Macaca fascicularis: one gene and its partner. The protein of the gene in region 1 purifies or fractionates together with the protein of each later gene. This does not show direct contact. Links are inferred from orthologs where the notes say so. Each region holds a gene or a part of one and is shown on either strand. Other genes may lie near its edges.

The links.
Region 2: the proteins of MGRN1 (region 1) and MC1R purify together in Homo sapiens (affinity purification with western blotting; 3 studies listed by BioGRID). This does not show direct contact. The link is inferred for Macaca fascicularis from reciprocal best matches to the Homo sapiens genes MGRN1 and MC1R.

What each region holds. Positions count from the first base shown.
Region 1 is NC_088394.1:5,439,021-5,446,438, forward strand, and holds the start of MGRN1 (E3 ubiquitin-protein ligase MGRN1), read left to right. Parts: upstream 1-3,026; 5' UTR 3,027-3,177; coding exon 3,178-3,265; intron 3,266-7,418. UniProt on the Homo sapiens protein: E3 ubiquitin-protein ligase. Mediates monoubiquitination at multiple sites of TSG101 in the presence of UBE2D1, but not of UBE2G1, nor UBE2H. Plays a role in the regulation of endosome-to-lysosome trafficking.
Region 2 is NC_088394.1:85,853,081-85,860,157, forward strand, and holds MC1R (melanocyte-stimulating hormone receptor), read left to right. Parts: upstream 1-2,502; 5' UTR 2,503-3,846; coding exon 3,847-4,800; 3' UTR 4,801-5,554; downstream 5,555-7,077. UniProt on the Homo sapiens protein: Receptor for MSH (alpha, beta and gamma) and ACTH. The activity of this receptor is mediated by G proteins which activate adenylate cyclase.

The sequences.
Region 1 (7,418 bases):
TCAGGAAGGGCCTGTCTTCCAGCTGGGTGTGGGTAACTCTTCTCTGTTGAGAAGAGTTAATGAAACATCCCGCTGCTGGAAACGACTGCTCTGACCCAGGCTCCATAGGGAGGATGTGTGTTAGTGTTGTTTTTCATGGGAACAGCGATCCTCGGGACTCTCCCTTCCTCCCCACAAACGGGGAGGGCAGTCGAAGGCAGCATTGGTACAGAAACGCACATACATGTACGTGAGTTCTGCAATTCAATGGAAAGAAATATAAAATGAAGAGAGATCACAGTGGGTGGGGGTCTTCAGGCCCATCCATCTGGGGGCAAGAGCCTGGCAATCTGGCACTCTGGAGCATGCCTCTGTGGAAACAGGGACGTGCCCAGGTAAGAGCAGTGGCCTGGCTCAATTCCAGCTGTGCCACCCACCTACTGTGCAACCCCATTAGGGTACTTCATTTTTCTGAGCCTCACTTTCCTGTTTTGTAAATTGGGAATGGAAATAGAATCTACATCAGATAATTTTTTTTTTTTGAGACAATCTTGCTCTGTCACCCAGGCTGGAGTGCAGTGGCACGATTTCAGCTCACTGCCACCTCCACCGCCCAGGTTCAAGCAATTCTCCCGTGTCAGCCTCCTGAGTAGCTGGGATTACAGGCATGTGCCACCACACCTGGCTAATTTTTATGTTTTCAGTAGTGACGGGATTTTGCCATGTTGGCCAGGCTGGTCTTGAACTCTTGACCTTGGGTGATTTGCCCACCTCGGCCTCCCAAAGTGCTGGGATTCCAGGCGTGAACCATTATGCCCGGCCAGATAATTATTTTTAATTATTATTATTTTTGGAGACAGAACATCGCTCTGTCACCCACACTGGAGTGCAGTGGCGCAATCTTGGCTCACCGTAACCTCCACCTCCCAGGTTCAAGTGATTATCCTGCCTCAGCCTCCTGAGTAGCTGGGATTATAGGCGCACACCACCACGCTCAGCTAAATTTTTGTATTTTTGGTAGAGACAGGGTTTCACCATATTTGCCAGGCTGGTCTTGAACCCTGACCTCAAGTGGTACACCTGCCTTGGCCTCCCAAAGTGCTGGGATTACAGGTGTGAGCCACAGTGCCTGGCCTGTTTTTTAATTTTTAATTTTTTTTCATTTTTATCCTTTTTAGAGATAGGGTCTCACTCTGTCACCCAGGCTGGAGTGCAGTGGCATGATCGTGGCTCACTGCAGCCTCGACCTCCCAGGCTCAAACTATGCTCCTGCCTCCACCTCCAGAGTAGCTGTGACTACCGGGGCATGCCATCACATCTGGTTAATTTTTACATTTTTGGTAGAGACAGGGTCATGACATGTTGCCCAGTCTGTTCTGGATCTCCTGGGTGCAGGCTATCTGCCTGCCTCGGCCTTCCAAAATGTTAGGATTGCAGGCGTGAGCCACTGCGCCTGGCCAACATCAAAGAATTCGATGAGAGAATATGCGCAGAGTCCTCAGCATGATGCCTGGCACATAATAAATGCTCAGTAAGTGTGGCCTTTGGTTGTGGGCCAGGGAGATTTTATCAGGCTCCTCCAAGACCTGGACCCACCTCATAATCACACAAGCCTCTTGGCTGCCATAGTCGTTTGGCTTCCCAAGTTCCCCTGACAAGAGGAAGGCTGAGGACAGGCGCAGTGGCTCACCTGTAATCCCAACACTTTGAGAAGCTAAGGCAGGTGGATCACTTGAGTTCAAGACCAGCCTGGCTAACATGGTGAAACCCCATCTCTACTAAAAATACAAAATTGGCTGGGTGTGATGGTGCATGCATGTAATCCCAGCTAGTGGGGAGGCTGAGGCACGAGAATCGCTTGAACACAGGAGGCAGAGGCTGTAATGAGCTGAGATAGTGCCACTTCTCTCTAGACTGCGCAACAGAATAAAAAAAAAAAAAAAAAAGGAAGACTGGATCCTGGACTCTGGCCCCTGGAAGGGTATAAGAAGCATTTCCATGTGGACTGTGGTGAATTGACCATATGAGACTCAGTCTGCCCTGCCCCTCCCTAGCTGCTTTCTTGGTACAACAGGCTTGACTTGGGAAATCACTCTTCTCAGAATCCCAGTTCCTCAACTGAGAAGTGGTAAAAAGCGATCTGTTTCCAGAGCTGTGTGTGAGTCAAAAGCCAAGGAACACCGTGCACACTGGGAGGTTTTCATTCTAACGCGATTCTTGCAATCTTGCCCCCAGCGCATTTCATGCGGCTCTCTCTCCTCTGTGCCTCAGTTTCCCTGTGTGTAAAGTGTGGGAGAGTCTACTGCCTTCTGTGGAGACTGTAAAATTATGTCTTTAAACTAATTGTTCTGGACGTGGGGCCAAAGTGTTGGGATTACAGGTGAGCCACTGCACCTGGCCTCGGCCTTCCTCTTGTCAGGGGGCCGGAAGTTGCTTAACCCCCTGGATTCCAGTTTCCTCAGCTGTAAAACGGGCTGATGCCTATACAGCCCTCAGAACCACACCTGGCTCAGAAGTCCCCAAATGGTAGTCCTCAAATTTTGGCCAAGGCCAAAGCGGGTGCTTCACTTCTTCGGTGCACACCCTGCAGGTGGGCTCCGGGTGGCAGGTGCAGCTGCGCCCTCTGCCGGTCGGGGCGGGAGACAAACCCGGGGGAGTGGGGAGAACCACAGCGACTCAGGGAGCAATTTCAGAGGAGGCAAGTGGAAGGCGCTGGGGCCGCAGGGGAGTCTGTAAGCGAACAGATGATGAAATGACCAAAGAGTTAATATGTTAGTGCAGCTCTTGGAACGCAGAGGGAAGGACCATTTGCGGTGTGCTTGGTGGTTCCTTCCCTTTGATTTTAGGTCCATTTGGTTTGTCCCGGAGTGCTTGTCAACACGTCAGAGAGCCTGGGAACGGAGCATCCTGGGAAAGATAGTTTCCAGACGGGCTTCCCGCGCCGCTTCCCGGCGCCTTCGGGGCGAGAGGACTCCATTTCCCGACGTGCCCGGGGCCCGGGAGGCGGAGGGCCGCCGTGGCGTCGGGTCCCGGGCCAAGCCGGGGGTGGGGGCTCGAGGCGCCTCCGCGGCCGTGGACTAGCGTCCGTGCGGCCTGGTCCGGGCCATGTCTGTGTGAGGACCCTGCAGCCGCCGCCGCCGCCGCCGCCGCCGCCGCTTCCGTTTCGGCCCTGGCCCCTGCCCGGCAGCGCCGCTCACCATGGGCTCCATTCTCAGCCGCCGCATCGCGGGGGTGGAGGACATCGACATCCAGGCGAACTCGGCCTATCGCTACCCTCCGAAGTCCGGTGAGCGCCCGGCCCCCGGCGCGTACGGCAAGGCGCGGGCTGGAACGCTGGCCCGGCGGGCGCGGGGGCGGGGACTGGGGGCAGGGCGCCCTGCTCGGCGCCCTCTGGGCCTCGTTCCTACCCGGAGCCTTTGCGCGGCCCCGCCGCCCCGACCCCTAGGCGTGGCTGGGGGCCCCGGAGGAACCTGCCCGAGCCGTACCCGGCGCTGCCACTGCCCGGCTTGGGTGACCTTGGGGCAGTCGCTTTGCCCCGGGCGCCTCAGCTCCGTCCTCGTAACACGGGGGAGTTCCTGGGGGAAAGCCTGAGGGCGGGGCGGGGTGCTGAGCGCGGGTCCCGGCGCATCTCTCCTGCCTAGAAAGCGCTCATTGTCATCAGATTGACCTCACCGCGGCGGCCGGCTTTCTCTTTCTTTGGTGGCTTGGTGTGAAGGCCAAGCCTGTGGTTGGGCACTTTCCCTCCCATCAAGACGGAGGCTCTTGGTGTGTGGGTTGGAGGAGTGGGGCTGGGCCCAAGGAGATGATTGTAATTGATCGGGAGGGGCTAGGGTCCTTGCTGACAGGACAGGAGAGTGATTGGAGAGGACCCACCGATACTCAGGTCTCTGTGTTATGGCTGAGGGACCAAAACCGTCAAGGAGGAAGTGGCTGCCAAGGACTCAGCTGGAACCAGTTGGGACCAGGACCAGGTGTGGGGCTCCCTGGGAGCTTGTTCCCGCTCTCTTCCTGCCTCTATTGATGAGCATGGGTTCACTGGGAGCATCTAGCTCCAATTCTCACCTTCCATCTCCTCGTGGGGTCATTTGTGGTGGAAAGGAGAGAAGGGAGAGGAGAGAGAACTTGGGCATCATTGGGACACCCAGATTGGGTCCTCAGATCCTGGCGTCTCATGTGATCTGATGTCTCAGTCTCCTGGGTGTCTCTGGACACCCACAGGCCAGATTTCTCTGAGTGTGGGCCAGGTCCACAAGTGGAGAGGACTGTTAGACATGCCAGGCCCTGCCTTGGACCACCTGGGGCCTGGGAACCTACATTTTCAACCCATTCCTCACGTGAGTTTGACGTCCACTCAGATTTGAAAAACTGCTCTGCCCAGGTTTTGTAAGGTGTGACTAGGTGAGGGCCTGGGGCCACCGCGATGAAGTGAGGGGAACCAGCACAGTTTGGGGGCACTCTGAAGGGGATGGACTCAGAGCTAGGCAGAACGCACTGTTGCCTGGCTGCTGGGGAGTACACACATGTTTCCCAGGCCTAGCAGCAGGGCAGCCTGGCCTTTGGGTGCTTCAGCCCTGGAGTTTCCCTGGAGGTTCTGAGGGCTGATGGCCCCACATCAGATGGAGCAGTTTGCTGTTGTCCTCTTTCATCTCTGATGTTCTTCCAGCCTGTCTCTGGCTGAGTGAGCTTGGTCGAGGTTGCTTAACTCCCTGGATCCCAGTTTCCTCATCTGTAAAACGGGCTGATGCTTTTACAGGTCTCAGAACCACACTTGGCTCAGAAGTCCCCAAATGGTAGCTGCTACAATTGCTCATAAAGGAAGCTAAGTGACTGGCTAATGACCCTAATAGTAAACAGTGTCATGACACAGATATCAAAAAGTTGAGTGGCACTTCCTGTCACCTGGGACCTGAGCTCACTTGATGTCCCTTCACTTGGACTGGACAAAATAACATACATGGCATTTACAGCCCACTTCGGGATCCCACTGTGGCTGAAATGTCATTGCTAATCACTCATGGCCCTCCCTCCCCCTGAGCATCCATCACGGAACACCTGAGTCAGCCACTATTAATTGGTTGGCACTGGCACACAGGTGAAACCCAACAGCTGCCTGGGTCATGTTGCCAGTGCCAGCAGTGTTCCGGGCCCGTCCAGTCCACAGGTCCTCTCCAGCTACGTTTTTCCCTTTCTCTTCTCCGTCCTTCCCTGGGACCTTGCAGATGCTTGTGCTTCTCTTTGTTCATCTCTTCCGGTCCTTGCCTTCGTGCCCCACTGGTTTCCTAGACTCCCCTCGTCTCCTCTCTCCTTAAGGAGAACTCCGTAAGGTCATGGATGGGAGGCAGACCGGGCTTCAGCAGAATTTTGGTGTGTTTCCCCAAGGGCAGACTGGGGACGGTGGAGACGTTTGAGATGATTTCAGGGGTTGCCCCCATGGACCATTCGATCACCCCATGAGAAAGTTTTCTTTTCACATCTGTCAATTTTGTTGATTATGTCAAGGAAAAAGAGTCACTGGGTGGTAATATATGTGTTTTTAACACTTAACACTGTCCAGTTTTCTTAATGGAACTTTCAGTATGTTCTGCAGCAGTGCTCAGCTTGAATTTAATATTTGCTTTGTTTTCACTGTATCTGTTTTACTCTTTCATAGCTTTATTGAGGCGTAGTTGATGTACCACACAACTCATCCATTGTAAACATGATTTGATGACTTTTAGTTAAATTATAGAATTGTGCAGTCATCTGGCTGGGCGTGGTGGCTCACGCCTGTAATCCCAACACTTTGGGAGGCCAAGGCAGGAGGATCACAAGGTCAGGAGATCGAGACCATCCTGGTTAACATGGTGAAACCCTGTCTCTACTAAAAATACAGAAAGTTAGCCGGGCATGATGGCATGCGCCTGTAGTCCCAGCTACTCGGGAGGCTGAGGGAGGACAAATTGCTTGAAGCTGGGAGGCAGAGGTTGCAGTGAGCCAAGATTGCTCCACTGCACTCCAGCCTGAGCAACAGAGTGAGACTCCGTCTCAAAAAAACAAACAAACAAAAGAATTGTGCAGTCATCACCACAGTTACAGACATTTTCCTTGTAAAAGTTTCCTTCCATCTGTTTGCAAAGTCCCTACCCCAACCCCCACCCTCAGCTCATCAGTGATCTGCTTTCTGTTTTCTTTGAGATGGAGTCTTGCTCTGTCATCCAGGATGGAATGCAATGGCATGATCTTGGCTCAGTGCAACCTCCGCCTCCTGGGTTCAAGTGATTCTCCTGTTTCAGCCTCCCGAGTAACTGGGATTACAGGTGCATGCCACCACACCTGGCTAATTTTTAAATTTTTAGTACAGATGGGGTTTTACCATATTGGCCAGTCTGGTCTCGAACTCCTGACCTCAGGTGATCTGCCTGCCTCAGCCTCCCAAAGTGCTGGGATTACAGGCGTGAGCCACCTTGCCCAGCCTTTTCTGTTTTTTTTGAGACAGAGTCTTGCTCTGTTGCCCTGGAGTTCTGTGGTGTGATCTCGGCTCACTACAACCTCTGCCTCCTGGTTTCAGGTGATTCTCCTGCCTCAGCCTCCCGAGTAGCTGGGATTACAGGCACTTGCCACTACACCAGGCTAATTTTTGTATTTTTAGTAGACACGGGGTTTCACCATGTTGGCAAGGATGGTCTTGAACTCCTGACCTCAGGTGATCCGCCCAGCTTGGCCTCCAAAGTCCTGGGATTACAGGGGTGAGCCACTGCGCCCGGCTTGCTTTCTGTTCGTATCTTTGTGTGTGTGTGAAAAGTGTCTATTTGAGTTTTTGTCCAATTTTTAAAAACTGGATTGTTTATCGTATGGAGTTGTGACAAAGAGTTCTTTATGTGTTCTGGATAAGATTCCTGTATCAGCCATGTGATTTGCAAATATATTCTCCCAGTCTGGCTTGTCTTTTAATTTTCTTAATGGTGTTTCTTTTGAAGAGCAAAAGTTTTGAATTTTGACAAAGTCTCATTTGTTGCTTTTTAAGTGGATACTGCTTTTGGAGTTATGTTTAAGAAATCTTGGGGCCATGCGCGGTGGCTCATGCCTATAATCCCAGCACTTTGGGAGGCCAAGGTGGGCGGATCACGAGGTGAAGAGATCGAGACCAGCCTGGCCAATAAGGTGAAACCTCATCTCTACTAAAAATACAAAAATTAGCTGGACGTGATGGCACACGTCTGTAATCCCAGCTACTCAGGAGGCTGAGGCAGGAGAATTGCTTGAACCTGGGAGGTGGAGTTGAGTTGCAGTGAGCCAAGATCGCACCACTACACTCCAGCCTGGGCAAACAGAGTGAGACACCATCTCAAAAAAAAAAAAAAAAAGTCCGGGTGCAGTGGCTCACGCCTATAATCCTAGCACTTTGGGAAACTGAGGTGGGTGGATTGCCAGAGCTTAGGAGTTCGAGATCATCCTGGGCA
Region 2 (7,077 bases), about 80 Mb from region 1:
GGCCCCTGTAGTCTCAGCCACTCGGGAGGCTGAGGCAGGAGAATGGTGTGAACCCAGGAGGTGAAGCTTGCCGTGAGCTGAGATCGCGCCACTGCACTCCAGCCTGGGTGACAGAACAAGACTCTGTCTAAAAAAAAATATATATATATATATATTTTTTTTAGGCCGGGCATGGTGATCCACACCTATAATCCCAGCACTTTGGTAGGCTGAGGTGGGAGGATCACGAGGTCAGGAGATCGAGACTATCCTGGTCAACATGGTGAAACCCCGTCTCTACTAAAAAAAAAATACAAAAATTAGCCAGGTAGGCCGGGCGCGGTGGCTCACGCCTGTAATCCCAGCACTTTGGGAGGCCGAGGCGGGCGGATCACAAGGTCAGGAGATCGAGACCACGGTGAAACGCCGTCTCTACTAAAAATACAAAAAATTAGCCGGGCGCGGTGGCGGGCGCCTGTAGTCCCAGCTACTCAGGAGGCTGAGGCAGGAGAATGGCGTAAACCCAGGAGGCGGAGCTTGCAGTGAGCCGAGATCGCGCCACTGCACTCCAGCCTGGGCGACAGAGCGAGACTCCGTCTCAAAAAACAAAACAAAACAAAACAAAAAAATTAGCCGGGTATGGTGGCGGGCGCCTGTAGTCTCAGCTACTCGGGAGGCTGAGGCAGGAGAATTGCTTGAACCCGGTAGGTGGAGGCTACAGTGAGCCGAGATCATGCCACTGCACTACAGCCTGGGTGATGGCGAGACTTCATCTCAAAAAAAAAAAAAAAGGCCGGGCGCGGTGGCTCAAGCCTGTAATCCCAGCACTTTGGGAGGCCGAGACGGGCGGATCACAAGGTCAGGAGATCGAGACCATCCTGGCTAACACGGTGAAACCCCGTCTCTACTAAAAAATACAAAAAAAAAAAAAAACTAGCCGGGCGAGGTGGCGGGCGCCTGTAGTCCCAGCTACTTGGGAGGCTGAGGCAGGAGAATGGCGTAAACCCGGGAGGCGGAGCTTGCAGTGAGCTGAGATCCGGCCACTGCACTCCAGCCCAGGCGACAGAGCGAGACTCCGTCTCAAAAAAAAAAAAAAAAAAAAAAAAAAAAAAAAAAAAAAAAAAATTTAAAGCAGACGGGGTGTGGGGGCTCACCCCTGTAATCTCAGCATTTTGGGAGGCTGAGGCGGGCAGATCACCTGAGGCCAGGAGTTCAAGACCAGCCTGGTCAACATGGTGAAATCACATCTCTACTAAAAATACCAAAATTAGCCGAGTGTGGTGGCGGGCGCCTGCAGTCCCAGCTACTCGGGAGGCTGAGGCATGGGTATCGCTTGAATCCAGGAGGCAGAGGTTGTAGTGAGCCGAGAATGCACCACTACACTCCAGCCTGGGCAACAGAGTGAAACTGTGTCTCAAATAAGTAAATAAAAATTATATGTACACACACACACACACACACACACACACACACACTTTTTTTTTTTTTTTTTGAGTCTGAATCTCTCTCTGTTTCCCAGGCTGGAGTGCAGTGGTGTGATCTCGGCTCACTACAACCTCCGCCTCCTGGGTTCAAGCAATTCTGCCTCAGCCTTCGAGTAGCTGGGACTGCAGGCGCCCGCCACCACACCCGGCTAATTTTTTTATTTTTATTAGAGATGAGGTTTCACCATATTAACCAGGCTGGTCTTGAACTCCTGACCTCAGACCCGCCCGTCTCAGCCTCCCAAAGTGCTGGGATTACAGGGGTGAGCCACTGTGCCTGGCAATAATGATTTTTGGGGTTTTTTTGAGACAGTTTTGCTCTTGTTGCCCAGGCTGGAGTGCAGTGGCACAATCTCAGCTCACAACAACGTCCACCTCCTGTGTTCAAGCCTCAGCCTCCCGATTCTCCTGCCTCAGCCTCCCGATTCTCCTGCCTCAGCCTCCCGAGTAACTGGAATTACAGGCGCCCACCACCACGCCTGGCTAATTTTTGTATTTTTAGTAGAGATGGGGTTTCACAGTGTCGGCCAGGCTGGTCTCGAACTCCTGACCTCAGGTGATCCACCCGCCTTGGGCTCCCAAAGTGCTGGGATGACAGGCGTGAGCCACCACACCCATCAATAATAAAAAATTTCAAAGCAAAAATAAAGATTTATAAACTGTAAAATGCAGATGTAACAAGTGAGTAATATTTACTGAATCAGTAAATATGAATGATATTGATGTGCTCACGGAGGTGGCTTGCGAGTGGTGTGAGCATTTCATGGTCAGAGATTGGCAGTCGGGCCAGAGACCGGATGGATTTTAACTCGAACATCACAGATGCAAACACTGAACACCCTGACGCGGGCGGCGCCTGCGCCGTTGCCTCCTTCTCTGCACCTGTAAATGGGGTGAATAATTCCATCCCCCTCCCGCTTCCACCTTCAGAAGATTTTTTGTCAGCACAGAGGCTGTCAGCACAGTCTCAGCGAGGAAGTGCTGGGAACGCCCTGGAGTGAACCCAGGAAGATGCCTGCGCTGGGTGCCGTGGCCCTCCCCACCGCCCCTGCTGGGTCTCGGGCCATGCCTGCCTGCTGTGAACCCCTGCAGAGCACCACGTGCGAGCGCTGGCTGGAGGCGAGAGGTCTGCCTTTGATGTGGCTCTTGGGGCAGGGCCTGTGGTGCCTTCCACAGCGGAAATGGGGCGCCGCGCGGGGAGGGCGGGAGCGGCGTCCCGGGTGCCCCTGTGAGGATGAGCGAGATGACTGGAGGGTCCTGAGGACCTCACCAGGGTGCCCCCAGCCCGTCCGCTCCCAGGAAGCGACACCCCCAGCCCCAGGGCTGCAGCTCAGGGGGTCGCTACTCTGGCTGGGCGAGGCTGGGCCCTTGGGGGCAGGGGCCAGAGTGGCCTCAGCCTCTCTGAGATGCCTAAAAGCACCGACTCCTCTGGGGCTCACTAGCATTGGGCCGTTTCACGCTCTGCCGCGGCCGGAAGCCCCCTCACCCCCAGCGATGTGCAGTTCCTGCAGGCTCACGCAGTTTCCAGAACTTTAATTATGGGAAAGTTCTCCCTGGTCCCGCCCCCAAATCTGCCATGAACGTTGACAGCTGAGTTGCTGCCCCATGCGTGCTTTGGCTGAGAGCAGAGGGTGCCCTGTCCTCATTGAGCTGCTGACGTGGGGAGGGGTGGGGCCTAGGGGTGCCATCCATGGCCAGTGATTGAGGCAGAGGAGCCTCTGGAGGGGACAGGTCCCAGGGAAGCCCCGGACTCCTAGAGGGGAGGCCAGGTGGGGTCCCTGGTGACCAGGACAGACTGTGGTGTTTTTTAACGTAAGGGAGATATGCTACATGACAGACCCCCGGGGTGCTGCGCACCGCCTGGTGGCAGGCGGGCCGTGGTGGGCGCTCACGCCCCTGCCACGTGCCCATCATGTGCCTGCCCTCAGTGGGAGGGGCTCCGAGGATGACTTTTAAAAATGCAGAGAAAGGCTCCATTCTTCCCAGGACCTCAGCCCAACCCTGGTCCAGGGAGGCAGGAGACAGAGGCCAGGAGGGGGCCAGAGGTGTTGAAATGTCCTGGGGACCTGAGCAGCCACCAGGGAAGAGGCAGGGAGGGAGCTGAGGACCAGGCTTGTCCACACTGGTTGTGAGATGCCTTGAGCCCAGAGGGTTGATGCCAGGAGGTGTCTGGACTGGCTGGGCCATGCCTGGACTGACCTGTCCAGCCAGGGAGAGGGTGAGTGTGAGGGCAGATCTGGGGGTGCCCAGATGGACGGAGGCAGGCATGGGGGATACCCAAGGCCCCCTGGCAGCACCATGAGCTAAGCAGGACACCTGGAGGGGGAGACCTGTGGGGACCTGGGGGCCTCCAGTGACCCCTTCCTGCTTCCTGAACAGGACTATGCCTGTGCAGGGATCCCAGAGAAGACTGCTGGGCTCCCTGAACTCCACCCCCACAGCCACCCCCCACCTGGGGCTGGCTGCCAACCAGACAGGAGCCCGGTGCCGAGAGGTGTCCATCCCTGACGGGCTCTTTCTCAGCTTGGGGCTGGTGAGCTTGGTGGAGAACGTGCTGGTGGTGACCGCCATTGCCAAGAACCGGAACCTCCACTCACCCATGTACTGCTTCATCTGCTGCCTGGCCCTGTCAGACCTGCTGGTGAGCGGGAGCAACATGCTGGAGACGGCCGTCACCCTCCTGCTGGAGGCCGGTGCACTGGTGGCCCGGGCTGCCGTGGTGCAGCAGCTGGACAATGTCATTGACGTGATCACCTGCAGCTCCATGCTGTCCAGCCTCTGCTTCCTGGGCGCCATTGCCGTGGACCGCTACATCTCCATCTTCTACGCACTGCGCTACCACAGCATCGTGACGTTGCCGCGGGCACAGCGAGCCATCGCAGCCATCTGGGTGGCCAGTGTCCTCTGCAGCACGCTCTTCATTGCCTACTACGACCACGCGGCCGTCCTGCTGTGCCTCGTGGTCTTCTTCCTGGCCATGCTGGTACTCATGGCTGTGCTGTACGTCCACATGCTGGCCCGGGCCTGCCAGCACGCCCAGGGCATTGCCCGGCTCCACAAGAGGCAGCGTCTGGCCCACCAGGGCTTTGGCCTCAAAGGCGCTGCCACCCTCACCATCCTGCTGGGTATTTTCTTCCTCTGCTGGGGCCCCTTCTTCCTGCATCTCACACTCATTGTCCTCTGCCCCCAGCACCCCACCTGCAGCTGCATCTTCAAGAACTTCAACCTCTTTCTCGCCCTCATCATCTGCAATGCCATCATTGACCCCCTCATCTACGCCTTCCGCAGCCAGGAGCTCCGCAGGACGCTCAAGGAGGTGCTGCTGTGCTCCTGGTGAGCGCGGCACGGGCAGCTTTCAGCGTGCTGGGCAGAGGGAGGTGGTGATATTGTGTGGCCTGGTTTCTGTGTGACCCTGGGCAGTCCCTTACCTCCCTGGTCCCCATTTGTCAAAGAGGATGGACTGACCTCTGAAGGTGTTGAAGCATGGACCCTTCTGGGACCAGGGAGAGGGGTCCCTGCAAAACTCCAGGCAGGACTTCTCACCAGCAGTCGTGGGTAACGGAGGAGGACATGGGGAGGTTGTGAGGCCTCAGGCTCTGGGCACCAGGGGCCGACCTCAGGCTCCTGAAGAGACATTCTCCGCCCACTCCCGGGGCACTCCACCTGCTCCAATGGGCATCCACCCCACCCCATCTTTGCTGCCAACCTCAGGACCTGTGCCCTCGTCAGCTGGGATGTGGAGGCTCTGGGTGGAAGAGTGTGCCAAGAGCTACTCCCACAACAGCCCCAGGAGAAGTGACTTTGTGACCAGAAAGCTTCAGCTACAGTCATGCAATGGCTTCTGCCAAAGGAAGTGAAATCCCTGCCTCAAGCCAAGGGACCAGGTTTGCAGAAACCTCACAAGTGGTGTGGGGCTGAGCCCTCCTGAGCACTGGTTCTAAGGCTCAGACTGGGAACTGGGGCCTCAGCCTGCTTTCCTGCAGCAGGCACCCAGGCAGACAGCCCTGGCAAATGCCTGACTCAGTGACCAGTGCCTGGGAGCACGGGGCCAGGAAAGTCTGGTAATAAATGTGACTCAGCATCACCCACCTTAGCCCCTTCCAGAAAGTGCTTCAAGTTTGTGGGTGGAGGGGTAGGGGAGGGGAAGGTGGGCAGGGATGAGAGTCAAGAGAGTCCAGGAAGAAAGGAGTCCTGGAAAACGTGGCTGCCTCCCCAGGTGAGGAAGCCACAGCCCCAGAGGCCTTGAACGCCTGGGGAGTGTGGAGGTCCCAACCAGGCTTGCGCTGACCCTGCTTCTCAGGTTTCTCTCCGTGCTTACAAACCCCAGCCTAGAGGAATGAGGAGCAGGTGCAGCAGGGCCCCAGCCCCTCCACTCTGACACTGTCCCAGCTGCAGGAGAGGTGGGTGCCCAGCCCTCCATGTGACCACAGGTGAGCTCAGCCAGGCACACTCCTTTGCTGGCCCTGGCCCTGAGTCCCTCCAGCCGTGATGAGCCGTGAATGGGACCATCCCTGGTCACTCTGAGATGCCTGGAAGGGAGCTCAGTGCAGGCGGGCTGGGGGCTGGGTCTGCTGTCTGTCCAGCATTGCCATTCTGGGAGTGGGCAGGTGGGGTGGGGGTCGGGGGTGGTCTGTGTTGAGCCAGTCCTGGGAAGTGCTGGATGTGAGGCCTCTGAAGATGAGGATGAGGCAGAGGCCCAGCGGCGGATAAGTCCCCTGGGAATGAACTATGCTGCCTGGTGCTAGGGAGCAGTGGAGCCCCTGGGCCATCCCTCTGCTGAAACCTGGGCATCTCGCTGAAGAGACCAACTCCATTTCCTCTGCAGACGCTGAGCACTCAGTCACCCCCTTTCCGGAACAGGCTCAGTGGAGGTTGCAGGGCTGCCATCAGCCAACTCCTAGGCAGGCCCAGTCAGCAGCCCCCTGGCCAGCCCCACCCCTGCGTCAGCTCCAGCCCTGACTGCCGGCCTCAGAACTGGGAGCTGCTTCCTGGCAGGGCCCGCCTGTGCTGGGAGACCGGACGGTGAGTCAGCCTTCAGCCTGGCACCAGAGCTCTCTGAGGATGGAGCAGGGGTTGGCTGGCCTGAGGCTGCAAAACTTCCCTCATGGAGACAGGCAGGCACCCAGACGCTCACCCGGGACTCCCTTGAACAGGGACAGGGAGGAACTCCAGGCAGCTAGACCCCAGCCACAGCCACTTGAGCACACTGTGGGGCAGGGAGGGGTATCTCTTGAGAACAAAAGATCCATTTCTCGACTTTCCGAACTGGAGAGCTTCTTGAGAGAAAAGAGAGAGACAGGGACAAGGCCATGCCACCCACACAGTCCTGTGCACACAGACCGGACACAGGCGTCCACAGGAGGGTTTGCAGCTGCTCATTGTGTGAAGTGAATGCTGATTTGGGGACGGGGGGTCGTCTGTGCATTGTGCACTGTCAGACCCTTCCTGAAGGATTTTTGTTACTGAAATATCAGAAGGTCCTTGTTATAAGGTGGTGTCACTGTAATATCTGGCCCAGGAGGAGGTCAGTGCTGTGCGGGCGAGCCCTTCCCTCCCTCCCTTCTTCTCTGACCAGTAGACGCATCTCCAGTTGTTCCCCTGAGGCCCCCCTGCA